Cricetulus griseus: one gene and its partners. The protein of the gene in region 1 interacts with the protein of each later gene in a biochemical or structural test. Links are inferred from orthologs where the notes say so. Each region holds a gene or a part of one and is shown on either strand. Other genes may lie near its edges.

What was found.
Region 2: of the proteins of Pml (region 1) and Senp1, one has a biochemical effect on the other in vitro, tested with the Homo sapiens proteins (2 studies listed by BioGRID). The link is inferred for Cricetulus griseus from reciprocal best matches to the Homo sapiens genes PML and SENP1.
Region 3: the proteins of Pml (region 1) and Klhl20 form a complex in vitro, tested with the Homo sapiens proteins (3 studies listed by BioGRID and IntAct, with this or other methods). The link is inferred for Cricetulus griseus from reciprocal best matches to the Homo sapiens genes PML and KLHL20.
Region 4: of the proteins of Pml (region 1) and Rnf4, one has a biochemical effect on the other in vitro, tested with the Homo sapiens proteins (3 studies listed by BioGRID, with this or other methods). The link is inferred for Cricetulus griseus from reciprocal best matches to the Homo sapiens genes PML and RNF4.
Region 5: the proteins of Pml (region 1) and histone lysine acetyltransferase CREBBP form a complex in vitro, tested with the Homo sapiens proteins (2 studies listed by BioGRID). The link is inferred for Cricetulus griseus from reciprocal best matches to the Homo sapiens genes PML and CREBBP.
Region 6: the proteins of Pml (region 1) and transcription factor AP-1 form a complex in vitro, tested with the Homo sapiens proteins (2 studies listed by BioGRID). The link is inferred for Cricetulus griseus from reciprocal best matches to the Homo sapiens genes PML and JUN.
Region 7: of the proteins of Pml (region 1) and Hipk2, one has a biochemical effect on the other in vitro, tested with the Homo sapiens proteins (2 studies listed by BioGRID). The link is inferred for Cricetulus griseus from reciprocal best matches to the Homo sapiens genes PML and HIPK2.

What each region holds. Positions count from the first base shown.
Region 1 is NC_048597.1:169,824,005-169,827,752, reverse strand, and holds part of Pml (protein PML), read left to right. Parts: intron 1-2,020; coding exon 2,021-2,171; intron 2,172-3,158; coding exon 3,159-3,748.
Region 2 is NC_048595.1:394,573,933-394,578,151, forward strand, and holds the start of Senp1 (sentrin-specific protease 1), read right to left. Parts: upstream 2,885-4,219; 5' UTR 2,307-2,884; coding exon 2,252-2,306; intron 1-2,251. Other genes in the region: Pfkm (ATP-dependent 6-phosphofructokinase, muscle type), read left to right, coding at 3,982-4,063. UniProt on the Homo sapiens protein: Protease that catalyzes two essential functions in the SUMO pathway.
Region 3 is NC_048598.1:30,929,785-30,934,165, reverse strand, and holds the start of Klhl20 (kelch-like protein 20), read right to left. Parts: upstream 2,938-4,381; 5' UTR 2,789-2,937; intron 1,882-2,788; 5' UTR 1,841-1,881; coding exon 1,818-1,840; intron 1-1,817. UniProt on the Homo sapiens protein: Substrate-specific adapter of a BCR (BTB-CUL3-RBX1) E3 ubiquitin-protein ligase complex involved in interferon response and anterograde Golgi to endosome transport.
Region 4 is NW_023276807.1:103,322,540-103,326,940, forward strand, and holds the start of Rnf4 (E3 ubiquitin-protein ligase RNF4), read left to right. Parts: upstream 1-1,535; 5' UTR 1,536-1,693; intron 1,694-4,401. UniProt on the Homo sapiens protein: E3 ubiquitin-protein ligase which binds polysumoylated chains covalently attached to proteins and mediates 'Lys-6'-, 'Lys-11'-, 'Lys-48'- and 'Lys-63'-linked polyubiquitination of those substrates and their subsequent targeting to the proteasome for degradation.
Region 5 is NC_048600.1:42,574,449-42,577,719, reverse strand, and holds part of histone lysine acetyltransferase CREBBP, read right to left. Parts: intron 2,519-3,271; coding exon 374-2,518; 3' UTR 1-373. UniProt on the Homo sapiens protein: Acetylates histones, giving a specific tag for transcriptional activation. Mediates acetylation of histone H3 at 'Lys-18' and 'Lys-27' (H3K18ac and H3K27ac, respectively).
Region 6 is NC_048595.1:53,811,194-53,815,396, reverse strand, and holds transcription factor AP-1, read right to left. Parts: upstream 2,982-4,203; 5' UTR 2,113-2,981; intron 1,996-2,112; 5' UTR 1,892-1,995; coding exon 887-1,891; 3' UTR 149-886; downstream 1-148. UniProt on the Homo sapiens protein: Transcription factor that recognizes and binds to the AP-1 consensus motif 5'-TGA[GC]TCA-3'.
Region 7 is NW_023276806.1:189,474,996-189,478,743, reverse strand, and holds part of Hipk2 (homeodomain-interacting protein kinase 2), read right to left. Parts: intron 3,131-3,748; coding exon 2,967-3,130; intron 2,336-2,966; coding exon 1,874-2,335; 3' UTR 1-1,873.

The DNA of each region.
Region 1 (3,748 bases):
CCCTCCCCCTGTCCTCCTTCACACCCTATTCTGGTTTTTGGAATCAGATGGAGGAGTGAGGGCTGCAGATGTGACCAGAGGTTGCCTTGCTGAGCCAGGAGGAAAAGATTCTGGTGCCAGATGCTCTGTATGCCCTCCTGTAGGCTCTCCTCTTTAGAAATGTCTTGCTTAAGTGGTCCACTCCTGCAGGCTGGTTGGGAGTTAAGAGAAGAGGTGAATAGGGAGTTTATAGCTGCCTAGCTTAAGTACTGCAGTGTTCCTCTGCCTTAGTGCATGGCTGATCTCAGAGATGGGGGGCGGGGGGAGGCAGGGCTGTGTCTAGGCTAAAAGGTAGACCCAGCCTTTCCTCCGGTTACAGCACAGAGGAAGGGAAGGAGGCATCTTGTTAGTGAGACACCCACAGGTTCCCTCAGAGAAGGCAGACTTAGAAATGAGGCTTCCTGCCATGTGGTGTGAAGATGAAGGCGCTAACCGAAAAGTCCAGCTGTGTGGCACTCCAGGTGTCCTGCTCTGGAAGATTGCCTTTGAGGCATAAAGGAACATCACCAGAAGGAGATGGGAGTCATTGCCAGGAGTCAGGTAGAAGCGCCTGGGGCCACAAAGGGGCTTTTGAAGTAATGTTTGAAGCTAGAAGAAGACCAAGGAAGATGAAGCCCGTGTGTCATGCCAGTGGCAGCAGAATCGACTGGGCTAGTGAGCCGGCTCTTCAAAGGCTGGCAAGAGTGAACATTCCCAGATCAGGGAAGGACAAGGCCAGGGTGGCTCAGCTCTGCCCCCAAGTCCACTTGTGAGGATAGACACATACAGACAGAAACCCTTCTCAGATACCTCTAGCTTGTGTCAAGTTAACAAAACAACAACCAAGACAGCACTTATGCTTTCTCTCAAGCCAGAGGCATTAGCTGGAGGCCACAGCGAATAGAGGTCTCAGCCCCAGGTGATAACTCCATTGACAACCAGAGCAGTCTGTAAGAAGACAGACCAGGGCCGTCTCTCGGCTCTGTCCCAGCAGTTCCCCATCTGTCCCATTTGGCCCTGTCTAATGTCCAAAAGTGACATGCATAGGATATTCACAAGCTGTGCTGTTAAGTGACTATGTATTATCCTCAGACACTCTAACCTGTCTGTAGCTCCAGGTCCTTGAGAAAATCTCAGAGGTAGAGAGAGCCCTTCCCATCCTTGAGGCCTAGGGCCTTTGAAATGGTGTTCCAGCCAGGACAACCTTGCCACTGCGCTGGAGAGCCAAGCCTTTTTGCAAGCCTGGGGTGGGTTCCTGAGCTCCAAGGCTCCTCAGTGCAGCTGAGGTATGGATGTGGAGAGCTGAAATCTCCAGGATCTGAGGCTCCGAGCTGCTCCCACCCAGACCCTCTCCCAACCAGGGAATGCATGTCCACCAAGATGTGGACGTCAAGAGGCCAAGTAGCCCTTCCTTTCCCTAAACTGAAAGACACCATGGGTCAATCTGGTTTTGAGGGCTAGGAAAGCCAGGCTCCTGCCCCTTCCAAAGAATCGCTTGGGGCTGTGGATGAGACTCCTATCTCGTTCTCATCTGTGCCATTTGTTTCTTCTGAGTCTGCTCAGAGAGGAAAAATTTGGAGCAGATACCTCAGTCCTTGCATACCTGAGGCATTGGCCCCTTCCCTGAGCCTCCGCAAGCAGGCACAACTTGCCCCACCCCACCCTACCCCATCTCACACTTCACATACTTGTGCCAACACTGTCCATAGATTCATACCCCTCACACGTGCATCCCACGTACACATCTGTACACACACCCATGCTCACCTGTATGGTCTTGCCCTTTCACACCTCCCTCTCTAAGGAGTGTGACCCAGTTCACACCTGCACACGCATCCCCTCTACTCTACCCTCTGGTGCACACAGATGCTCTTACTGTGCCAGCTTAGTAACATTCCTACATCTTCCTGTATGTGTGCACACTTGCTCTAGAGTGCAGGGTCATCTCACCTGGTCCTTCGGGCCTCTGAACTCCTGACCTATTGGCTTTTTTGTGTTGCAGTCCTCCCTCGAGCTGGAAGACAGCAGCAGTGAATCCAGTGACCTCCAGCTGGAGGGCCCCAATTTCCTCAAGGCATCGGACGAGAGCCTCGCTGACCCCCAAGCGGAAGACAGGGCCCTGGTTTTCTTTGACCTCAAGATTGACAGTGAAAGTGGGTTCCCCAAGAGCTACACCATCTCTTTTACATCATCTCTTTTTTTATCTTAGTCTCTGAGTCCTCAGGAAAAGTGCAGTTAGAGACACCTGGAAGGCTCCAGCCAGCCCTTAGCACTGACAGGCTGTGGCAGCCAGGTAGACAGAGGACTCTGACCCCACCTAGGATATCTGATGTTGCCATATCTGCCTAAGTGGAACGTGGGTATGGGAGGGAGATATGTAATGCCATCGGTTCACGTCTGACAAGACCTTCTCTATACAGAGAGTCTGGGAACAGTGTGTGAGCTCATTGCTGACAAGTAATCCACACTTGACCTTTGGCTACAATCACACATTTCCCCAAACAGGGCCCAGCCCACAAAGGGATACACAGGGAGGCTTGCAGAACCTAGATCTCAGGGAGTTGTGACTCCTCCTCTTAGAAGCCCCCTGTCTTCCTCGCTGTCATCCTTGCCCAGCCCCTCAGCTCTGACCCTTTGTCCTGGCTAACAGTTGTGGGCCCTGCCATTGTGGCTGGCCTACCAGACAGAAGCATCAGGTATTTGCATAGCACACATCTGTAGGCTTCAGGGGGAGACTCTGGGCCATGCCCTTAGGGGGTACACAGGCCATTTCTGTTGTCTTCAGTCCTGGGCTGGTACTGATGGGGTTGGAGGTAGGAGTAGGATTATAGAAGGCCCAGAAGAAACCCTCTGGGGTCTCTGGTGGAGGTGGAGGCTGAGAAAATACAAAAAGGGCAGAGTTCTTAGGATTGAGCAAACTCTAGGAGGGCAGGAGGGATAGGGAAAACCACCTTGCCGACAAGTGAGCCCCCGACCCGTCCCATCAAAGCTAGGCAAGAACTACATTGGTTCAAGAACTATTTGGTTCCTGCCAGCAGGCCTCAAGGTGGGCTCTCTAGATAGTGGGTGAGCAGCCTGGCCCCTTGCACCCAGTGCCTCCTAAACCCTGGAGCCTTACCCTGCCCTTCTTTCCTGCCTAGCCCAGAAAATTAGCCAACTGGCAGCTGTGAACCAGGAAAGCAAGTTCCGAGTACTCATCGAGCCGGAGACCTTCAGTGTCTACTCTAAGGCAGTCTCCCTGGAGGTCGGACTGCAGCACTTCCTCAACTTTCTCACCTCCATGCAGCGCCCCATCTTGGCCTGCTCTAAGCTGTGGGGGCCTGGGCTCCCCATTTTCTTCAAGGCCCTGGATGATATTAACAAGCTGTGGGAATTCCAGGGTGCCATCTACGGCTTCTTGGCTGTGTTGCCTCTCATTCAGGAACGCATACCCGGTGCCAGCAGCTTCAAACTCAGGAACCTGGCCAAGACCTACCTGGCGAGAAACATGAGTGAACGGAGTGCCCTGGCTGCTGTGCTGGCCATGCGAGACTTGTGCTGCCTCCTTGAGGTCTCCCCAGGGCCACAGCTGGTCCAGCATGTCTACCCCTTCAGTAACTTACAGTGCTTCTCTTCCCTGCAGCCCCTAGTTCAGGCTAGTGTCCTGCCCCCGGCCGAGGCCCGCCTCTTGGCCCTCCACAATGTGAGCTTTCTAGAACTGCTGACTGCATACCGCAGCAACCAGCAAGAG
Region 2 (4,219 bases), on another chromosome or scaffold:
TAGCTCTAAGAAAGTTTAATTTAATTTAGAATAAGAGATTAACAACAGTAACAATTTGGGAGGCAGAGGCTGGTAGATCTCTATAAGTTTGAGGCAGTCTGGTCTACATAGTTCTAGGCCAGCTAGGGTTATATAACAAAACACACACTCTATGTGTATGTGTTCTCATGAATAGTCTATCTCAAAATATAGAATTTTCCATCTATTTTCTAAATACAGTTGACTGTAACTGTAACTGCAGAAAGTGAAGTTACAGATAATGAATTTTCCCAGAAAAGGGTTGGGGTAGTTAAGAGCCTAACTGCTTGGAACTACGTAATTAACATAACCACACATGTATACACACCCCCACTTTTAGTACCATAGTTAAGACTGAGTACTTGGTTCACAAGTCCACAGCCATTCTGAATTCTCCAAGTATTCAAGGGACTGAGATGTCAACAGGCTTTTTCAATGGTCACAATAACAAAGAGCACACAAGGAAGGCTGCTTCAGTGAGCAGCCTATCAACCAAGGTCACTTTCTAATTGTGAGTAGCCCACTCCACCCATCTTTTTTAAAAAGACTGCCCAGCCTGGTGGTGGTGGCCATGCTTTCAATCCCAGTGCTTTCGAGGAAGAAGCAGGCAGATCTCTGTGAGTTCTATGACAGCCTGGTCTAGAAAGGGAGTTCCAGGACATCCAGGATTGTTACACAGAAACCCTAACTCACAAAAAAAAAAAAAAAAAAAAAAAAAAAAAAAAAAAAGGAGAAGGAAAAGACCAATTTAAGAGTATGGTATCCAGAACTTGGACGGTAGAAAGATTCCAAGTTTGGAGTCACTCTGAATTATACAGCAAGATGCTCTCTCAAAAAGAAAAGAAAATCTGCTATCCAGAAGAACAACCCCAGTTAATTTCTTTTTCATTTTAGAGATGTGGAAGGGGAAAACCTACTACAAAGTCAGTAATTCAGAAAAGTTAAATGACTTGCATGAAATCACACCAATGAGGCCAAAGGAAGAATTCCCCAGCAAGAGCACATCTGAAGCACAGCACAGCCTCACATCCCTCAAACACCCTCATTCAAAGATTTACCTGGGCAATTGAAAAATAACCTCCGACTAGCTTTGGTCATCTATCCTGGCTTATATGTTTAGATGGCTAGAGCTCTATGTTTACACCTTAATACAATACATCTTGCTTCTGCGGTGTGCTTCTAGTACCTACGTTTATAATAGTGTTGGAAGAGAGTTAAAAAACAACAACAAAACCAAGATTCTGCATGAAGTCATAGATAAGGAGCCTTAGATGTCATCAAATTCTAGCAAGGATGACAATTTTTTTCTTTTAAGAAAATCTTTCTTGCCGGTGGTAGTGGCACACATCTTTAATCCCAGCACTCCAGAGGCAGGGCCAGGTGGATCTCTGTGAGTTCTAGACCAGCCTGATCTACAGAGTCAGTTCCAGGACAGCCAGGGCTGTTATAGAGAAACCATGTCTCAAAACACCAAATAAATAAATAGATAAATAAATAAACAAATAAATAAATTCATAGGCTAGTAAAGGATGCCAGATGTATTCACAGATCCAGCAAAACTGGTACAACTAGTAGGAGAAACAGATGTCAATGAAAGAAAGAAATTACATCACTCTTTAGCCACAAGTGGCAGAACCTGTTTGTCTACTCATCCACTTCCTCTTTAGACGTAATCCAACAGATGAGTGACAGGATATCCACTTTTGCAGTTGGGATAATTAACTGAAATCAGGTAAAATGAATGAATGAAGAAGCACTCTAAAAGGGACAGGGACTGGGAGCAGGCAGTCTAATTGGAAGATTAAGGTCATTCGTTAAGGTGTCACTGTAACATCAAAGGCACTGTACTTCACATGTCAGCAAGAGTCCTGAATGTAGGTAAAAGGCTAGATCCTGAATACAAATGATCTTTAGGGAGAATACTTATGCATATTACCTACTTCATCCAGAATTTCCCATTACAACGAAAAACTTTAAGTCAAACAGTTGACAGGCTATAAAAGACGACAGAAATTGTTACAGGAATCACCACCGCTCTAACACAAGAAGTATGTCACACGAACTAAATAATTTTAACAAGTGTGAGTTTAAAGTGATAAAGGAGCGAGTTATTGCCAACAAGATAACAGAAAAACTGTAGAGGTACTGATAAAACAGAAATCACCAAGCTCGAGACCAGGGAAACCTAGCACGTATCCAGAAAGATCACGAAGCAAAGGTTCAAGACAATTACCAAGAGGCGATGAGCCAGGTAAGAAGAAAACTGTGGCAGTTAAGGGAGTTTTCATAACCTGTGCAGGAGGGTCCAGACGTTTCTCTCTGGTGGTGGCACTAGCGATATCGCATCTCAGGGAAATACCACAGGGTAAAAGAGTTGTAGAATTGTTTGCGTGGGACACAGAAGTAGTCGAGAAGTATCATTCAGGTCTCAAAGAAGACAGGTGAAGCAGGTGGGATTGAAAGCTGAACTTCTTGGTGGAAACAGCTCTCTCTCTCCCTTGGAGGGGACCCTGCTCTGGCGGGAAACTCCAGGAATCCCAACCGGCCTTTTTCTCTGTGGAGAAGTAGAGCTGGGCGCTGAGAGGGGCCTGCTGTGACCGCCGGGAGACGGCCTCTCCGCGGGTCAGGAGACGGAGGCCTCAAAGGGCGGCCTCAGGAAGCCCAGCTACCAGCCCCGGGTCAGACAGCCGCCACCGGACAGCAGGGGGGAGTGGAGGTGGTCCCAGGGGGCGGGGCGGAAGAAAAAGCACAGTCCCCACCGCGGTCCTCGCTTCCGCTCAGCCCCGCGGAGGCCGGCGGGCCCGGTCCGACACAGACTCCCGGCCCAGTCTCCCTCCATCCTCACCCCTCCCCCAGTTTCCCGCCGCCACTCACCGAACCGGAACCGGCTGCTAGGCAAAGGAGTTTCCGGCCGGGCTCAGAACGCAAAGCCCGGGAACCTCCGTGAACCGGAACCGTCTTTACGGCACCGGAAGACGGCTGGGCAGCCGCCGAGGAAGAAAGGGGGTGGGGCAAGAGGTCAAAGAGCAGAGTTACGGACTCGGGGGACGCTTGCGCGAGGTGGCGAGGCTGAGAAGCCAAGGAAGCGTTTGAGTCTAGTCTTAATCGCCCCGTCAGGCCCAGACTGATCTTTTCTTCTTTCTCACACTTGGAGTGCTGTTAGTGCGCCCACCGTCCTTTGATTTTCTCTGTCCCTCCGCTCCCTTACCCGCTGTCTTCTGGTTCCGTTCGTTGATTTTTTTTTTTTTTTTTTTTGCTTAGGTTCAGGTTTCCATGGCAGCTTTTCGCTGTGGCTTTACATAGTTGTGCCTTCCTTGACAAATGAGGATTTGAGATCTAAGTCGATTTCAAACTATATCTTCTGGAAATTAGTGTGCATCTTGTTGCGCTTGATTGATCACAGGAAGTAGGGCTGGGGTAGCAACCAGAGACTGGGAAGAGAAACTCCGGGAACATCTTAGCTTAGACTCTAACAGCCTGCAGAACCTTAAGTAACTGGAGGAATTTAAATCAGTGATTTCTAATGGGGCACACCAGAGGTCTTAAACATGTAATCTATGCCAAACTTTTAAGTTTGTTCATTCAAATTATTTACCAAGCTCCCTAATTTAGTAGGTCTCTGGGTCAGACCCTACTTAGAAGCCTTGGAGAGGTGCTTCAGAATTCTAGACCCAGTTAACTGCCTGTCTGAATTCAGTCTTGAAGTAGGGAAAACCTCTGAAGCTCGCAGCCTTTTCCATACTATCAGCAACTGGGAAAGGGAAGGATCTGAACTTGCTTGTTCGGGGATCCTGACTTGTATATATAAAAGTAGATTATGATATCACCTTATATACTGATTTTTTATATGGCCAAGTCCTAAAACCCAGCAGTATTAAGTATCCCTAGACCATGTCAACCTTTGACACTTTGTTCTACATCTATTTATTTGGATCAAATTCTCTTTATTTCTAGGAAATAGCCATGAGTAAAAACAACATTCGTGTGAAATTTTTCATGTGTGTGATTAAGGCTCGACGAGTAGTCAGGAATGCTCAGAACACAGGTACCATTGATTAAGCTACAGTGGCAAGGGATGAGTTTCTCAGAGCTATACAGGATGAGAGCTTCTGGTATAATCATAGACTTAAGGGGTCAACTGACCAGTTTATTTCTATTCCTAGTTTGAAAAAGAATGTCACTGTGTTATGTCTTTTCGTTG
Region 3 (4,381 bases), on another chromosome or scaffold:
ATAATTGATGGCATTAGAATTATACAACATCATTTTGAATAACTGACAGTATTGTGTAATAAAAATAAGGCAAGGGAAAAAGCTCCTCAGACTGAGTGGTTAAGTGAATATTTTATACAGAAATTACTAATAAACTAAGAATGTTGCCACAGTCTGACTTTCCTTTATAAAATCCCAGCACTGAGAAGGGGATTGGGCACAAAGCTTCACACTAACCAAGAAGCTATTTGCAACTGCTAGTTGTTGAGAGGAAAAGTCAGTTTTCCCTGGGTATATCAACTGCACTCCAGGGCAGGCCAGCGCAAAATATACTCCATGTTGCTGTTGTTATTGTTATTGTGTGTGTGTGTTTTAAGACAGAGAAAGAACATGAAGTTCCATGGTTAGGGAGTGGGGAGGAACTGGGGGAGGGGAAAGAAAATGATCAAACTATATTATATGATAAAAATTTTAAATAAAATTTAATTTAAAATTTTAAGTTCTTATTTTAGCAATTACTTAAGATATGATACTATGGCAACTGAGGATAAAACAAAATCTGTGGCTTTTGTAATCATGCTAGAAAATGAAGTGGTAAAGCACTTAATATTGTGTAGTGAGTTTCTTCTAGTACTTTACAATTCTTATTCTTACTGTAGGGTAAGCTATAATGCAGGGTCCATTATCCTAACGGAACATGTCACCTCTATGATGTCTTTTCATTTGTACATCTTAAAGCATTTGTGAACATTTATTAATTCTAAATATCACAGGCAGATACACCAGCGAAGTTAACAGGGCAAGAAAAGGTAAAATGGTTCAAAGCCAATTGATTAATCAGTAACAAATCCGGAAAAGGATATATATTCTCTCTCCTTTTACTTGAATGTGATCCCAAGATCTTGCTGCCTCTGCCTGCAAGGTGCTGGGCTTTACAGGGTTGCACAGTCATGTCCAGCCCTGTCCTTATGCTGTAATTTCCCTTTTCTTAAAGAATCTTTGTGTTATTTATCTTTGATGTTAAGCAACATATTACAAAATAAGAGTTTGACAATAATGAGTTTAAACAATGAGTCAATAGAATTGACTTGTTTCAATAAAGATTCTGGTATAATTTGTTAGGACGGACTGAGAAAAGACATTAATAAATTCTAGCAGCAAGACAGCCTGTAATTGTGCATAGTTTCCTCACACTTCTATTTTTCTACAGCTATTTTAGTCCTTAATCTTCTCCTTCATGCAACTATTTAATAAACATAATATATTACTGAACACCAGTAAAACAACCAAACCACGCCTAGGAATGCAGTATAGTGTCTTACAAATACTACTTTTATTTGGCAACAGAAATCTTCTATATTATACAAAGAATTAAATTTATAATAAACACACAAAGCATCCTATGGTTATATATAACAAAAATTACTATGCAAAAAAGGCATATTTAAGTATTAAGGACCTAAAAATCCAAACTCTCCCTAGAAATCTAACACCTACATTTCATTGAAAAGCTGCAGAGGGTGGTGGTGCACACCTTTAATTCCAGCACTTGGGAGACAGAGGCAGATGAGCTCTGTGAACCTGAGGCCAGCCTGGTCTACAAGAGCTAGTTCCAGGACAGCCAGGACTACATAAGTTCTTATTTAAAACAACAACGAAAAACAATCCAAAACAAACAAAAAAAGCTGCTAATTTCTGACATTGTTAGTTTTGATTTACTTGAAACAAGAATGATCAATTCCAAGCAGGGTTTAGTACGGTTTGTGAATAAAATGATTTTAAACGATGCACTGTTAATAGCCGCTAAGCTTCAATCAGTGAAATCTTAAATGGCTTACCTGCGCATTGGCTTTCCTTCCATGCACCATGAAAAGTATCTTTCACCGTATTCAAAAGCCGTACCTTAAGCAAGAGAAAAGCAGTAACTTACTAAAAACTGTTTCTGATTCTCCAGCAACCTTTGTAATCATTTCACTCATTTCGTCTGTAATCAAGAATCTTACATCCCGACATATTTTTTGTGCAGATGCATAATCATAAGAGAATGCAATGCCTTTAAGATGCCTATCATTAACTAAGGAGGCTAAGTCAATTGATTACTCGTGAAGGTGAGGGAAAGCGTGAAAGTAGTCATGATAGCTTCTCGGTCTTGTCTCCGTTCGAAATGCACTTGGAGATTTTTGTTTCGTTTTGAACTTCGCCCCCAAGCATATTTGCAGAACAAACACTTGATACCACAGCAGTTCTAACTCAATGAGTCGGAGCGGAAACATGTCTTAAACACTGGAAGGTTGTTAACTCATTCCGAAGTGACAGAGAGCAGGCCGAGGCATTTGCTTTTTAAAAACAACTCAGCTTCCGACCAGCCCGGACAGCTTGAACAAGGGCAGGGAAAGTATAGCTCCAGACTTACACTCTCCAGAGCCCTTGTCTTATTCCCCGAAATACTGTCCACCACTAGGATCTCACTGGCTTCCAAAGGTGACGTGGGAAGCACAGTGCTCACTCCCCTCAGAATCCCAAGTGAAGCTGTCCAGGATGCGGAGCCCTAGCGTCCCCAGAAAGCACAGCACAGCACAGGCTTCCCCTGGCTTCAAGACACCTTGGTCGGCCGGCAAGAAGCGCAGTCTGGCGCCCCGCAAGGCCCAACCCGGGCGCCCCAATAGTCTCTTTTCGGGGCTGACTGACAGGCGACCTACAAAGCACTGCCCTAACCGCACTGGGGCAGTTCGGCAAGTTGAGATCACAGATCCGCACAGCGAGACCTGGAGCTCTGCTCTCCATCCCCTGCTCTAAGGCTCTGACTTACTGGCTTTGACACTTTTTTCTCTGCAGCACCCTTCTCTGCCTCCTCCGCCCTCTCTGCCTCCACCTCTGGCGCCGCTAGCGCAGGCAGGATGCGGCTCCCACAGCGATTTCCTTTCTCGGCACCCGCCCCTATCCAGAAGCAGGAAGTGATCCTGTTCCTAAATCCTTCCCGCCGAACTGCACATGTTCGGGTAAGTGGTTCCGTCCTGGTTCCGGAAGTTGCTGCGCCTCGCGCTGTGTGTTTCCTATTTAGTGTTTCCGGATAATTTATTGATTTTTTTTAAAAACGGAGGCTTCCTCCCCTCCGCCTCCTTCTCCCCCTCCCCCCGCTATGTTTTACAGCATAGGCAACAGGAAGATGGTAAGTATTACCGGAAGCTAGGAATCTTGATTTGCTTGTAGCTTTTGGGTCCCTTTTTAGGGGATGCAATGCGGTCCATGATTGTGGATTGATTTCTTACCTCATGCATACAAGGAGTTGACTAGTATCTATCAGGCTCCTACTATGTGCAAGTCTGAGGATACACAAACAAATCACAAGACAAATCACAAACCTTTCCCTCTAATTTTCCACAGCACAGTTTCAAGATACTGGAGTTTAATCCAATATTCTGATGGCATCATTTTCCTTTAATATACTTTTTTGTGTGTGTGAACCCACTTTAGTACCAAGAGTAAAAAAACCTTTTTGTATTTTGTTCCAAAAATTTCCTCAATAATTAGCCATCTTATTTTTACAATATATTTTAAAACCAACCAAACGAAATAGGGGAAAGGTGAGGATTACAGTTTTGAGTATATCAGTTGTTTATTTTTGAAAACTATACTGCACTTAACTAAATCTTCTTTACCTGATCATTAAATGAAATCTACAGACTCTGTATAGTTGTTTCTGAGAGGAAATATTCCTAATATTAATCAACTTGTAGTGGGTGGATGATTAGTCCTCAGTATTGAAGGATTTATGACCATCATTCATATTTTGCTGATGGTACCAAAGCATTATATAACTTTCAAAAGGGCAAGGGCACCTGTGAAGCACCTTTTGGGGATGCACAGCATATCAGGGTTAGAGCCAGGACTTAATGCCATGTACAATGGTTCTAGAGTTTGGCCACAGTTACATTGCGTCTCCCTTCAGAAAGGCTCAAGAGTTTTTGTTCATCTATACTATTGGTATTTTCAACTTTAATTATACTTTGCCAATCTGGTGGCTATAAAATGGTTTCGATGTACATTTCTCTGGTTCATTGAAATGTCATTTTATATGTGCAGCTGGCAGTTAGGTTTCTTTTGTGCAAATTGCCTAAAAGACATCTTCACAGTGACCCTTAGAGTCTTCCAAAATATGAATTATAATTTTGTGGGATAACTAAGCTCAATGGGGCCTGACAGCTGGCCTACAGCATGCGCAGTAGATATTTCCTAACAGCTAGCCTGGGTCTGCCAGAGGGCCTTGACAATAGCAGTAAGTCTGACGAGAGATGACGTGGACAGTGACCATATCACCTCAGCAGATGCCTTCTCAGTGGATCTCCTCCCCTGGGGCAGGGTTGGGGGGAGTATATAAGGCTTACCCCTTCCTGCAATAAAC
Region 4 (4,401 bases), on another chromosome or scaffold:
TATTTGTAAATTTGGTCACTTTAAGTAGGATTTTGATTAGACATATACGGTCCTGCTTATAAGTTGAAATTTCTTTAGACACTTTGAACTATATTCTACATATAAAATGTCCTATTAACTTGAAAAGTATTTTTCCTATTTTGCTCTCCCATTACCTTGCAAGGTGTATTGTTCCTATTCTGCTCTCACATGCCTTATTAAATATTCAAAATATTTTCATAAGGAATGCCAACATTTCCCTTCAAACTTGTAAATTTTCTCTATTCCAATTATAACATTTGAAGAATATACTCAAGACATCCAAACACACATTTTACATCGGAGTCAGATATGTGTCTATCAGACCTACTTTCATCATAAATTCCCTTAAAATTCCATAAAATATCAGAGATTGTAATAGCACAAACATTAACGCTGGGTTTTGACCTGCTGTCATTCCAGTTGAATGCACTCTACAGAAGCACATTTACAGCAATCTTCATACAGCCTGAGGGTCACCATTCATGTTTTCTAGTTGCTATTTATCAATCATTTTCTAATTGTCAAGGCAGGTGCTCAAGAAAAACAGCATTGTTTTTGTAGTGCCATTCTGTTTTGCTGCACTCTAGGAGGGCCTAGCATGCACTAGTATTATCTGTTAAGCCTCACACTCTTTCTCCTAAGTAGGTAAAATGGATCCCCTCTAACAGCTGTGAATGTGCTGAGACTTGCCTAAAATCATGCTGCTGGTTTTCATTATCAGATAGATAGGAGGGACATGAGATGTCCCAAGACCCAAGAATTCCAGGCTCTAGCCTTTCCCGAGGCCGGTTCTTCTCAGGTCATTCTTCTGAAGGACAGCGAGTAGTTAGCATTTGTGTTCCTTTCTGAGTTTTGTCTTCCTCACCCCTCGCCTCTGCTCCTGACACACTGGGCAGCTAGCCTGCAGTTTCCTGGGCATGCACGCACCTCCCCCACCCCCGCCCCCGGCTATGGCACACAAAATGTCTAGCTGGACGTTCTCTTCCCGTCTAGTCCTCAAGCCTCCTCCAGGTGAGCCTCCGGGACTCCCGATGGGACCCGTGTGAAGAGCGTGGGGGCCGACACGCCCACTCAGGGCCTGGCATTTGGGGTGCGGATCCCGGCGAGGTTGCCTGTGGATCACCAGAAAATTGGGACCTTGGGCCAGTCTCCCGTAGGTGTCATCAACGACCGAGGAGCCTGAGATGGGCATGGAGTGACTGGTGGGGACTACGGTTTAGTGTTAGTGGCGGCCATGAGGCCGCTTGTAAACCAGGTCAGAAGACAAGGGTCGGTCACAAGCAGCAGGTGAGCAAGCTCGCACAGCGCCCCAGCAACGACACCACCAAGTTCTCGCGGGAGGAGTGCGACCGGCGGAACTCTCGCGAGACGTGGAAACTCGGGCACGCAGGCGGGGGCGTGGCCGGAAGAAGGTGCATTTCAAAGTGGTAATAGATAGTTCTCTTACCCAATAGAATTACAAATGAGCCTCCTAAACCGGTAGAGCACGGGAATAAGGGCGGCGAAGGCCAATGGGGACTGTGAAGGGCGGGCCAGGGCCGGCCGAGCGGAAGTGGGTCTCGGTGAGGCGGTGGAGTCGTGCTTGAGCGGGTCGCCTCAGCGGCTGGTGGAGGAGGCACGTCCTTGTTGGAGCGCATTGGCTGTGGCGTCTGCCTGATCTCACCAACTCCAGGTAAGACCAGGCTTCCCAGGATGGAGGCGGCAAGCCAGGACGGCGAGGGCGTGGGGGCGCGGACGGCTTCTCGACCTGCAGCCGAGTTGGTGCCCGCCAGTCGCGGCTCGTTCGGCAGCCCGGGACCGCACCTCTCGGGGTCGGGCCCACTCAGCCTCCTCGGCCCCCGAGAGCGCGCGGGTGTCGGATCCCGGCGCGGCGCTCGCTCGCTCGCGTCGGAAATAGGGAAGTCTCTCTCTGGGGCGCCTCTCGCCCACCTGGCCGCGGCCTGGCCGGATGGACTTCTTTTGCAAACTAGGAAGGGAAACTGAGGTTCAAAGAGGGGAAGGACGCGTCCAAGGTCACTCTTTTGGCTGGGCGGGCCGATTGGAGAGGATCTCTGAGCAAGGGTTTTGTTCACCGGTGACGACGCAGCCTTTGTGTGTTGGCGCCGCCGCCCCGCCTTCCTGGGGCCTGCGAGTTTACTGGGGCACCCAAGCCGCGTGGCGGGCCCTGTCTAAGCTGGGAGAGTTGAGGACGCTTGCGGGCCTTGGAACTGAATGGGGTTTGGGCTTCCAGGAGCCGCTTTCTGCCTTACTAATGGTTGGTGAAGCGTGCGATTGAGACTTGGCCCAGCCCTGCACCCTCTGAGGTCCTTCCCTCCCCGGCACATCTGTACACAGGAATAGGAAACAACCTGATCTTAATCCTAAACACGGTTGCAGTGGACGCCATTGTCTACCGCTTGACTCGCGAGGGAGGAGTCCAGATCTGGGCGTTTCTGCTTTTGTTTTTTTTTTTTTACTTGTCTGTGCCCATAGGCGCTTCGAGCTTTCAGTTCTTCTGCAGTCTGCTGCTCAGTTTAGGCTGCCCAAGTGGTTGAAGGAGACTCAGGTCCATAAATAGGGAAGAGGCCCAGGTCTTTCTGTCTGCGGTTGGACGCAGATTGACTATATAGTTCCTGACAGTGGTGAGAGGGAAACCGCTCCACCCACCCCAAATACACCCTGTGCTTGTTTTATGGATAAACAAATTGGGTTCGGGTTTACCTGTGAGTTCGATATGGAGTGAGTGGAAAGATGTCTTGCTGGCCTTTGTATTGCTTAAATGTGATTTTCCAACTTTTCTGAAAAGCTTTCTTTTTAACACGGTGTTTACCACTGGGGGTGGGGTGGGGGGAGGGGCGGCAGGATTGGTTTTTTTGAGAGTGGATTTCTCTGTCCTGGAATTTGCTTTGTAGACCAGGCTGGCTTCGGACTCAGAGGTCGGCCTGTCTCTGTCTCCCAGCTGTTAAGGCACAGTAATAGAAAAGAGCCTAGAGTGAGTGAGTGACATCTAGGGTACCTGGAAATGAAATACTGTTCTACTTAAAATGCTTTTTTGGACTTAACATTCCTTCCAGTGGTGTTGATGTAACAGGGAACACATTGTACATAGTAGGAAGTTGAGTTTGCTGTACTGTTTCTTTGAGAAACAGCAGGGAAAAAATCAGAAAATTAAAGCCTGCTGAACTACCTTACAAAAGGTACTTCCGTTACTTTAAGAGCCACAGTTATGCAGGTGTGGTACTGCAAGCATTCCTTCTCAGGTTGACAGTAACTTAATGTGGTAGACTAAGGCTCATTTCCATAAACAAGCTTACAGTATCATAATTAGTTGTGCCAGTCAGTTAACACTTGCAGAAGGACACTACACGTTTTCTAAAAGTCGTTGGTCAAGTTGTTGAGTAGTGGGCCTGTAGTGGGCCTGTAATTACATGTTTTTACTCATAAGTCCTGTGAGCTTTAGCATAGTAAGGTGATTTTTATAAGACACACATTTCTATAACTACAAATGAAGCTAGGCAGGTGAGGGCAAGTTAGGGAAAAGAGGCTAGCTGTGTAGTGTAACCATATTACATTGTGATAATTAGAACGGAGGTAGCAGCAGGAGACATCCTGAAATTGAAATATTACCTTGCTCTGATTGTCTTGAGTTTTCCAGGGACATTCTACCTGAATCCCTCGAATCCAGTATTTGTAACATTCTGGGGTTTCTGGTTTGCCTTCATTTAGTTTGCTTGCTTCTTGGCTTTTATCTCTTAGTCTTTCTGCTTCAGTCTCCCAAAATCTGGGATTATAGGTATATGTAACAACATGCTTTGGTTTCATGGAATCATTCTTTTGGAATTAACACCTGGATACCCTAGCATGAATGTTTCTCTCTCACCCTCACAACTTTAGAAAAGCTTGGGTGTCTGTCTTTTCCTGGTTATAAGTGGTCACTGTTCTACCCTAGGTCTTTTTCCCCCCCTTGAGACAGGGTTTCCTCTGTAGGCCTGGCTGTCCTGGAACTGAATAGAACAGGCCTGCCTCTGCCTCTCAAGTGCTGAGATTAAAGGATTGTACCACTAAGGCCAGACACTCTCGGTCTTTTAATGGCAAGGACACCATCACCCTCAAAGTCATTTGCTCATTGTAATCAATTATCATGAGTATCTGTTATGTGCAAAATACTAGGGAAGTGGAAAGTAGATAAAGCCCTATCAAATTGAGGCTTCCTTTGCACTAAAGGATGGTGGGACCCTTGCTAAGGTCATAGTGCTGGAGGATTGTGTTGGAGGAAAGAGGAGCCAACAGTTCCTTGACATACTAATTTCCACGTCAGTTTTCTTCTAGAATATCTCTTATTTTGGTCTTGGCATAGCACTTAGAGTATAGGTTCTTTGCCAGGCATGGTAGTGCACACCT
Region 5 (3,271 bases), on another chromosome or scaffold:
AAACAAAACAGAAAAAAAAGAGAAAAAAGCTGAGAGAGAAAGAGAGACCGACCAGATATTTAAATCAACTGGTTTTTAACAAAAAATATATTCTTTGTATTGTTTTAGACATCAATCCACCCTTCCATGCTTGGGAGTCACAGTCCATCTAGGCGTAATAAAAAGAGCCCAGACGCCTGGATTTTCAGTACAAAAAGTCCAAGAACATGAAAGGGGAGGGGGGAAAAACAAAACAAAACAAAACAAAAAAAAAAAAAAAAAGAAAAAAAAAAGAAAAGAAAAAAAGAAAAAAGAAAACAAAAAACCCCCAAAAAATAATAAAATAAAATAAAATCCCAAAACAAAAAACCAAACACCCAATGCTCTCATAATGCTACAAACCCTCCACAAATTTTTCTAGTGTGTCTCCCGTGGTATCACCAACCAGGGACAGTTCACTGGACAGCGCGCTCCTGTTGGGGGTATTCAGCTGGGGGAGCATTGCACTCTGTTCGGGGTTCCCCAGGTGTCCCTGATCCATGGAGCTGGCCATGGTGACTGCGAGTCCGGGGTGGGGGGAGCCAGTCTGGGGTGAAACATGGTGTGGTGAAGGCTGGGGCTGTATCCGTGGTGATGGGCTGGAATGTGGAGGCTGGGATTGGGGCCGTGGAGACTGGACAGGGGCTGGAGACCGCACCTGGTTACTAAGGGATGTGGCGATCTGCTGGCCGGGGAGATGCGAGGCCTGTGGCTGTCCTGAGAGCATGTGCTGCTGGGGGCTCATGGGGTTCGGCTGGCCTGGGGACCCAATCTGCTGCTTCATCTGCTGCTGCTGCAGAATCCGCTGCTGTAGGGCCTGCTGAATGCTGGGGGTGCTGTCTGCCCCCAGCCCAGGCTGCCCCATTTGGCCAAGTTGTCCCATTGGAGCAGCCATCTGGCCCATGGAGCTACCCTGGATGGGGAGGTGCTGTTGCATACGTTGCTGCTGCATGGCTGGGGCGTAGCCTCCAGGTCCTTGTGGCTGCTGGAACTGGCCATGTCCTGCCATGCCCCCGGCCATGCTGGCACTGCTTTGTTGCTGCTGTTGCTGCTGTTGCTGCTGCTGCTGTTGGTGCTGTAGCAGCTGTCTCCTAACCATTTCTCGGTACTGTGGATTCATGTTTGCCATGTTGGGGTTGTGTCCAGGGTTCATGATGTTCAGAGCCTGTCCCTGGGGATTCAGGCCTCCCATCGCCTGTTGCTGTGGAGGCACACCAGGCCGTGGCACACCAGCTTGCATTGCATTCAGGTTCTGCAGGCTGGGCTGCTGGTGCATGCCGGGCTGGGGCTGCATACCAGGCTGGGACTGAAGTCCAGGCTGGGGCTGCATGCCAGGCTGATTGGCCACATACTTGGCTGTGCGCTGTTTAATGAAAGCTGCCATTAGCTGTGGGTTTGATTTGAGGATGTTCAGCACCTGCTGCTGCTGCTGAGGGGAGCTGGGCGACTTCAGGGTCCGAAGCAGGTCTTGCAGGGCACTTGGCGAGATGCTCCTTGGTGGCTGCACATTGGGCATCCGTGGCCCAGCCACTGCTGCCTGGGCCTGCATAGACATCACAGGCCTGGGCATGCCTGGCATTGGCTGCTGCTGGGGGATGGGTGCCTGCTGCCATTGCCCAGGTGGCATGCTAGACATGACAGGCCCACTGACTTGGTTGGGACGGGGCACATTCAGGCCCACAGGGGCCATCTGGCTCCCTGGGGTTCCCATACCTGCACGCCCTGGGGGCATGCCATTGTTGATGTTTGCTCGGTACAGATGCTGCTGCTGCTGGGCCTCACGTTCAATTTGCCTTGCTGCTTCTACTGCCGCAGGTGGGGGCTGGGCAGGAGGTGGGGGAGCTGGCACCTGGTTGGTAGGCTTCCCAGCAGACACTATCGTTGGGGGCTGAGTCCGGGCTACATTAGGGAAGCCAGCTGGTGACATGTTTACAGGTGAAGGCTGAGGCTGGGCAGGGGGCTGTGGTGTTTGGGGTGTGCTGGGCTGCTGTGTGGGGGTCCCAGGTGGTGCTGAGGTAGGAGAAGGCAAACTCTGCTGAGGCACATTGCGGGTGTTCATGGTGGCCATTCGACGGCGCATGAGCTGGGCCTGCTGCAGGCGATGCTGGATCTGCTGCTGGCGGAGCTTGTGTTTGATGTTGAGGCAGAAGGGCACAGGGCATTTATTTTCTTGGCAGTGTTTGGCGTGGTAGCAGCAAAGAGCAATGAGCTGCTTGCATACGGGGCATCCTCCATTAGTCTTGCGTTTACAACCCTTGGTGTGCTGCACTACTCGTTTCATCTTCTGGCAAGATGGCAGAGAGCAGTTGGCATTGCGACACTGGCAGGCATGGACCAGGGACTGGATGCAGCGTTGGATGCTGAGACGCCGGGACTCCTGGGGGCTCTTGGACTGTGGCTCACCTTGACTGCTGCCCTCATCGTCTAGGCCCAGTCCCCACTTCACCATTTTATGGGTGTGGCTCTTTGTGTTGTAGCAATTGATACAAAGGTCATAGTCCTGTAGAGAAGCAAAAGGGACAGACCAACATCAGCATAGGCCTAGAATGAGCAGACACCCTTGGGCAGGGGAAATAGTTAGGCCTGAGGCTTGAGCAGTTATTAATGATACCCTTCCTTCTTTACTTCATGTGCTTTGGGAAAAGCATCAAGACCTCCCCTTGAGACTTAACAGCAAGAACTAAGAATACCATGGCCATTTATTCCAAGTACTACCAGAGGATATGAGACACTATCCCTGGGAGAAATGAATCAAATGATCCTTCCCCAAAACAGATAGCCCAAGTGGCTGAGAGATACTTGAACTTAGAAACTAAAAAGGAAGCATTAAATCTGAAGAAGGATGGGGGCTTGGGAGATAGTTCAGCGGGTAAGAGGATTGGATGGTCAAACATGAGGACCCGAATTTGGATCCTCAGCATTCACACAAAAATCCAGTGCTTGTATCGCAGCACCAGGCAGGAAAGAGGTAAGAGGACTGCTGGGGCTTGTGGGTCACCAGTCTAGCTAAGGTTCAGTGACAGATGTTTTCTAAGGTTATGAAGTAAAGAGTTACAGAACAACTCTCCTCTGGCCTCTGTATGTACACACAAAAATAGTTTCCCTACACACATACCACCCACATCCACACATAAATCTAGAAAGAAAACACAAAATCCTACACTTTGTGAAATAGAAAGAAGACAGAGAAGCCTGGAGAAAGCTAGAGGAAAATAAGAATTTAAAGGTAAGAAAGAAGGAAGGGCTAGGCAGC
Region 6 (4,203 bases), on another chromosome or scaffold:
AGAGAGTATGACCCTATGATAGCATGCAGGGCATCTATTCCTACAATCAAACAGAGAACACAGCTTTTACTCTAGCGAATTTGACATTCAGCTGTTATTCCATCTAGCTACTATTATCTATGGATAATGCAGCAAAGAGGTTGGGGGCTACTTTTCAATAGTTTATTGTATTTTCTTAAATATCCTTTCTGGAAATTTTCAGAAACAAAACATAAAAAAATTATATACTTTATTACAAATGGTAAACTCAGAATGCTTCAAATCTCTTATTTACAAACAACACTGGGCAGGACACCCAAACAAACAAACATGGAATAACTTACAAAGGCAGGAAGCTGTTTATTGACAGTAATCAGCTTTCATCAAATTAAAAAAAATATATATGTACATACACAGTTGAGGAAGGCAGGCCAGGGGAGTTCATCTGCAGTCTAGCCTGGCACTCACGAGCCTCCCTCCCCTCCCTAGCCCTCCCTGCTTTGTGTTCTTAAGGAGCACTACAGAAGCAATCTACAGTCTCTATTGCAGTTTGTAACCCCTCCCCGCCCCCCTTTAATACTGAATGAGATCGAATGTTAGGTCCATGCAGTTCTTGGTCAATGTTAACGAAAAGTCCATCGTTCTGGTCTCGCGGGCACAGCCCGATCGCAAAGCCTAGCAGCCAACAGGCCGCCGCTCTCTGGCTCCATGCCAAGGCAAGGCGCGCCACGTCCTTCCCACTCCAGCACACTGGGGGCGCCGTCAGGACGCAACCCAGTCCATCTCGTGTACCCTTGGCTTCGGTACTCGGGCACTTTTTTTTTTCTTTCGCAACCAGTCAAGTTCTCAAGTCTGTCTTTGTTATATTTTTTTTCTTCCATTGCCCCTCAGCCCTGACACTCTGTCCTCAAAACGTTTGCAACTGCTGCGTTAGCATGAGTTGGCACCCACTGTTAACGTGGTTCATGACTTTCTGTTTAAGCTGTGCCACCTGTTCCCTGAGCATGTTGGCCGTGGACGCCAGCTCCGAGTTTTGCGCTTTCAAGGTTTTCACTTTTTCCTCTAGCCGGGCGATCCTCTCCAGCTTCCTTTTCCGGCACTTGGAGGCGGCGATGCGGTTCCTCATGCGCTTCCTCTCCGCCTTGATCCGCTCCTGAGACTCCATGTCGATGGGGGACAGGGGCGGGGTCTCTCCCGGCATCTCGGGCACGGTCTGGGGCTCTTCCTTCAGGGCCTGCAGCCGCGGGTGCTGCACCGGGATCTGTTGGGGCAAGTGGTGCGGCGGCTGAGGCGGCTGCTGCTGCTGCTGGGGCTGCGACGGAAAGGCCAGCCCGGCCGCGCCGTAGGAGGGCGCCCCGCCGCCGCTGCTCAGCGCACCCGGGTTGAAGTTGCTGAGGTTGGCGTAGACCGGAGGCTCGCTGTGTAGGCTGGCGCTGTAGCCGCCGCCGCCGCTGGCGCCGGCTACCGAAGCCACCGCGGGAGCCACCATGCCCGCACCGCTGACCGGCTGTGCCGCCGACGTGACGCTGGGCAGCGTGTTCTGGCTATGCAGTTCGGCCAGGGCGCGCACGAAGCCCTCGGCGAAACCCTCCTGCTCGTCGGTCACGTTCTTGGGGCACAAGAACTGGGTGGGGGTCGGCGTGGTGGTGATGTGCCCATTGCTGGACTGGATGATCAGGCGCTCCAGCTCGGGCGACGCCAGCTTGAGCAACCCAACGTCGGGCGACGTGAGGAGGTCCGAGTTCTTGGCGCGGAGATGCGGCTTCAGGTTGCCCACCGGGTCGGCCAGGTTCAAGGTCATGCTCTGTTTCAGGATCTTGGGGTTACTGTAGCCGTAGGCGCCGCTCTCGGACTGGAGGAACGAGGCGTTGAGGGCATCGTCGTAGAAGGTCGTTTCCATCTTTGCAGTCATAGAACGGTCGGTCAGTTCACGCGGGGTTCGTCTGGGCTGCGCGCTGAAGTTTCGGGGCCGCAACAGCGCGCTGGGAAGCGGGGGACACCCGCGCGTCCCTGCGTCTGTGACAAGTAAAGTTTGTCTAAGAGCGCGCGCTCCGGTCGGCAGTGCTCCCCCCCTGCGCCCTCCTCCCCAGCTCGCTCCAGGGAGCGCAGGGTTAAGGTACCGCCTTCACTCACGTTGGTCGGCTCCCGCGCGCTGCCGGGCTTTGAAAAGTCGCGGTCACTCGCGGAGCGCTCTCGGGTAGTAGCAGTTCCTCGGAGACCGCAGACCAGCTCCAGCGACAGCAGCTCTCCGGCGGCGCTGACCAGTCGTCACGGAACTGTCGGTGGAAGCCCGCGATCGGGCTCCGCCGCCCGGACTCCGACAACTGTCCCCTCCTCCGCTGTGAGGGGGAGGGGGACGCTCGGCGGCCGCGGCTAGCGCTCGCCCAACTTCAGCCGCCTGTGCGAGCGGGGCTGAGTGTGGGTTCTTCCTCTTCTCCCCTTTCTTTACGGTCTCGGGGGCAGCCTAAGGCGCTGAAAAGGTTTGCAAAAGTTCGCTCCGGGCCACTTGTTCCCGGTCTTCTGGGTCAGGAAAGTTGGTGGTCGGCGTAGCCGCTCGCCTATTTCCTCGCTCGGGCAGGCACCGCTCTCGATGCTGTCAGCAGCGCAGGGACTTGCGAGCTGCTTCTCCGGGGAAGGCGGGAGAAGGGACTCTCCAAGTGCTCCCCAAAACACCGGTGCTGGAGCCGCGGGCGCTGGGTCCAGGTAGTCGGTGAGAAAATGAAGACAAACAGATGAGCAGCCCGGAGTCCGCGGCCGTCCAGATTGGCCGAGAACGTCCGTCCTTCCTTCCGTCCGTCCCGCTCTCTCTCTCTGCCTCTCTGTCTGAGCGCGTTCCTGCCAGGACGTCTCTGCCACACTCAGTGCAACTCTGAGTCCTTCTTATCCAGCCTGAGCTCAACACTTATCTGCTACCAGTCAACCCCTAAAAATAGCCCATGATGTCACCCCAAGGCCTTCCCATTGGCCTGCGTCGCTCTCAGGGGGGCGGGCCCGCCTGTCGCCATGGAGACCTCACCCCAGAAGATTCTTCTCTGGGCCCGCGAAGGCTCACGGGATGAGGTAATGCTCCGCTGCGCTCCTACAGTTGGGCCCTTCTTTCTCCTCCTCCCTCCCCCTCCCGCGCGGCGCTCAGGCTTGTGTTCCCGGGTTCCCTCCCCGGCGCGTCTTTCCCGGCCCGCCCGGTGCATTGTGGGCTGACGTCTTGGTTTGGCTGTCTAGTGACGGAGGCTGCCGGGTCGGCTGGACCCTTGCGGCGTCTGTCGGAGGCGGGCTCAAGTTCAGGGTTGGGGACGGGGATCGAGACACCGGCATCCAGAAAGCTGGGGAGGCTCGCTAGTGGCCCCGGGCGGAAGGCCTGGGTGGGGAGTGGAGGTGGCGCGCGCGCACGCACGCACACACAAGCACACACACACACGCACACACACGCACACACGTGAAGGGGCTGAGCGACCTGAGCTCCAGCAGGCTCTGCACCCCCACACTTCCGGGAGGCAGCGGCGCGGGTGAAGATGGTTGTGTGCGCCCCGGGTGCGGGAGCGAGAAAGTGTGTTGAAGTTGAACGGGCTTGAGTGTCCCTCCCACGTTGAGCACGCGTGGAAGTTTATCTCTTGGTTAAGTTCCAGAGGAGGATCTGTGCCGCTGTGTGCTCTACCTGGAAGCTAGAGATTTGCGGTACTAAGAACCGACTCGTCAGGGTCCTCGGCACAACACTTCACCCTCTGGAGACATGCGGGGAGGGGCTCGCTTTGCCTCAGAGGGACGCGCTTTCTAGACGTGAAATAAAGGGGCGACCCCAGCATCCATGGGGGTCAAAATCAACATTTAAGGGTTCAAAACTCAGGAAACCCCAGCGATCGCCTTTGCCCGGGCGCGTCTCGCGCATACGCAACCCGCGCCCGCCCTACCCCCCACCCCCCAGCTCCTGATTTGCTTCTGGGAAAACAAGTCTTGAGAGCCGCCGCCGACTCGCCCGAAAGTCACGCTGCCTAAGCGGGAGTCCCTGGTAGAAGCAGGCTAAAGTCTCCCCTCCCCGCCCGCTGGTGGATTCATATCCTGTGTGGCCTCTAGGAAGCGCTAGACACATGTAAGTGGTTTTTGTCCTAGGGTTCTGCTATCCGACCTCCATTCTCCACCACTTAGGACTAAAGAGGTGGCAAGCTCGGTTCTCTCATGGCCTAACTGCAATCTCGGAACTTCTCTGAGCTTTATTGGCCTCATCTGCAA
Region 7 (3,748 bases), on another chromosome or scaffold:
AGGGCAGATTTCTTTGGAGGCTTAATTGTCCATGGGAGTGTTTCCCCAAATGTCCCCCCCAGCCCCTCTGCCTGCTGTATCTCTCAAGGTCAGAGATCAAAGTGTTTTGGGAGACCTAGGTTAACTTCAGGAAAAAAGCAACAGCAAACTCGCCATAGAGGCCTGTAGGGGAGAGTTGGTGACACTAGGGGCCCGATCTCAGTCCCTGGAGCTGGTGGAGAGACATGTGGGTATGTCAGAGACAACCAGGCTTCTTGTGGGATGGAGGGACTGGGGAGGTAACCAGAAATGGGAACAGGTCTCCTGCCTTTCCCCATATGGCTCCAGGAAGGAGGAGGTGGGCTTGGAGGTGAGGCAGCTGCCTGGCAGAGCTGACCTTCCTAAAGACCCCCTAGAGCCATGTGTGGCAGAGCTGGGGGTGGGAGGAGCTGGGTGTCTCTCTAGACCTCTGCCCTCAGAGTAAAACTCAGCAAAAGAGCCCGCTGTCACCAGGCTGCCCCACCTGCTCCCACATGCCACTTGAGATCCACAACTCTCCCCATTTAGTTACGAAAGCTTCTTTGAAACCCTCTGCTCACAAAGAGCCCAGGAAAGACAATCCACATGACATTAAAACGATACAAAAACAAGAAGACCCAAGTAAAATACTCTGACAGCTTAACACAAGAGCTGAGAACATATCTGACCAGGCCCAGCCAGTTTCTTGGAGTACCAGTGGAAGTAAACCCTTCACCTTGTCTGTCTGTCTGTCGGTCGTTAAGGCACTAGGAGGGAATGATGTAAAATCAAGACGGCAAGGGCTGTAACGGCGGTGCCAAGGGACACACGGGGAGGGTGGCAGCCCCGCTCACACCCACTCGTGCTCATGCACACTCACTCGCTCGCTTAGACCACCACATTGGTTCCATGCCTATGTTATATCACTTTTTTGTGCAATTATATTGAGGAATAGTCTATTGGTATCACTGGAGTTGAACACAAGGTAGGAAGCAAGGGCGCAGAGTGCTACATTCTACTAGGGTGTCCACGACGACCACTAGCCCTATGCTACAAGACTAGGGGTTGATTCAAAGAGAAAATAAAATCTCAGAAAAGAAAAATAATTAAAGACTGCAACACACATTACTAATGACATCTGAGGAATAACATTGCTGAGAGATTTATCCAGAATGCCCCAAAAGAGGAAACCCGCCTCTCTCCTGAGGGGTTTTCCATCAGTCTGGCTGACCCCACTATTCCTGACAAATGAGCCAGAATTGGGCTTTGCCAACCCCAGACCATCCCCCAAATATGAGCCTCCTCAGGCCATGGCCTGACATTTGAAAGGGGTGTTGACCCTTTTGGAGTTCTGGAAAAATCCCTAATTTTCATATTCAATTAATTAAAAATCTATTGGATTTCCACATCAGGTGTCCCTGACAGCAAATTCTTCAGTGTCACTTGCTGCCCTATGAAAATAATCTTTAAAAAGTTCATAAAGTTCTTCAAACACTGGGGCCCCTTGCTTCCAGAATCTTCCTGTAGCTCCTCTTTTCCTTTCCAGTTTGGTGCAGAATGGGTTTTGAGCTGTTTTTTTTTTCTTTTTTCCTCTTTTGTTACTAACATTTTTTCTTTTTCTTTTTTTCCTTTTTCTTTTTTAAAATAAAAAGCATAGATTTCCCACTCCTAATCCTTCTAAAATGTTCTCTGCTCTGCTCTGAGTCCTCCCACTTCCTAGTTCAAGTTTCATCTGTGTCCCAACTGTGTGTCCCTCCCCCTCCCCCCGTCCTGCCCCATTTGCATTGTTGGTGTGCGGCACCTGCAGTATAAAAATCCAGCTCCCTGGGTCTGTTGGGAGCTCCTCCACCCCGCTCCCTGCGGGCCCCTCCTGTGTTTATATGTAAGGGTACTGGTTGACCTTGGCAGGACTCAGTGGATATCCAGTGTAGACGGTGGAGGCTGGTGAGGCGCTGATGTACGTCTGGTGGGCAAACTGGGCCGGATACTGACTGGGGTGGATGGTGGGTGAGGGTAGGACCCGGGGCCCCATGCTCACAGGGACTTGGTGGACGATGCTGGCCGGATAGGCAGTGTGCTGCACAGTGTGGCGTGCTGAGCCTTGGGATGCCACCAGGTGGGCTACGGTGCCGGTGGAGCCTAGGGCTGTAGGTGCTGTATAGGTGTAGAGGTGAGGCTGGGTAGGAAGGTGGGCAGCAGCAGCCAGGTGGGGATGCACAGTGCCATGGCTGGGGCTGTTGTGCGGGAAGGTGTATGGAGCCTGGGCCATGGTAGGAGTGATGTAGGCCTGCTGTCGACGGTGATTCCCAGTCCGGTCTGTAGCCATGTGCTGCTGAGCCTGAGAAGGAAAAGTAGCAGAAGGACTGTGTTAGGGGGAGGAGGGGAAGGAGAAGGAAATCAAGACTGACAACAGATGCCTCCCTTCAAAAGCAGAGAGCATAAACATTTGTTTGGATTGGGAAAGTAACATCTGCCTGGCAAGTCACCAGACTAGGGCGACACTCAGCCAGTCCACAAAGCCAGTGGACGTTCTACTGAAGTGGTCTCTCTCTCTCTGAGTAGTGACTGCCTTCCCACATGTTGTGAAATCTCACTCTAAAACTGGTGACCTCTAGAACCAATCCAAACAAAGAGCATTCTCTCCTGTAGAGAACCCAAACCACTGGGGCACTTGAGCAAGTCGTAGGGTACATTATCCATGGGTCTGGGGTGCTGACTGCGAGGACTTCCTACAGTGAGGCAACTTCAGGGCTAGCCTGGTGACCCAGAGCAATGGCAGGTCACTATGCCCACCTTTTTGTGGGCCCATGTGGGTCATCTGACCAGCAAGTCAGCTCTGGCACCATGTCATTAAGTACTCTATCTTCCCTTTGCTTGGGTTGGCTCTCTGAACCAGTGATACCACCTTTCCCAGGGTTGGTCTAGCATAGGAATAAGCCATCAAGGCCCCTTAGGCTGCTGAGGTTTACCTGGCTGAGATTGAGGGGCTGCTGCTGCTGGAAATGGGGGCCTGGGCGTTGCTGCCGATAGGCGATGGCTCCTGATGAGCTCCCTGAAGAGTGGCCACTGGTGGAGGTCACGGTGCTGGAGGACTTGGACTTGAAGGAGGATGAATGGTGACTGGTACTAACGGCTGCAGGAGGGTGGAGAGGTCATAGGTTAGCGGCATGTCCTTGGCTATCTAGAAGACCTGCCCCCTCCCCTTGTAAACAATAGCCTTCCAGGAAGGACATGTTCCTGAGACTGCTCAGGCATGAATCACTCAGTCCCTGGGCCTGGTCAGGCATTCATTCACCTTGACTCTGGAGAGGCAGTTGGGCTCTGGCCTTCGGCTGCATACTGGGCTGGAGTTGCAAATGAGGGAGACGGGAGTAACAAAACCCAGGGTAAAGGCACAGGTCCAAGCTGGGCCCCACACTGGTCCTCTATGGCAAATGTATAGCAATACCTGGGAGGTGTGTGGAAGGAAGGAGGCCTGCCTGGATCCCTTCTGGGTAGCCAAGGGGATTAGACGTGATCATGCCAAGGGATGGCCCTAACAAACAACTGGGGTGAACAGCAGAAGCTGCAATAACCCTGCAGCTCTCCAGAACCAAGGCAGGATGAGACTAGCTCTCCCAGGGAGTGGCCTAAGAACCGAATGTGGCTGAAATACCAGCTGTTACTGACAATGTAGAGACTCTCTCCAGGCAGGAAGGGAGCCTTGCAGCTGGGGGTGGCATGAGAGTCTGCATTCTGGCACATCCTGGGT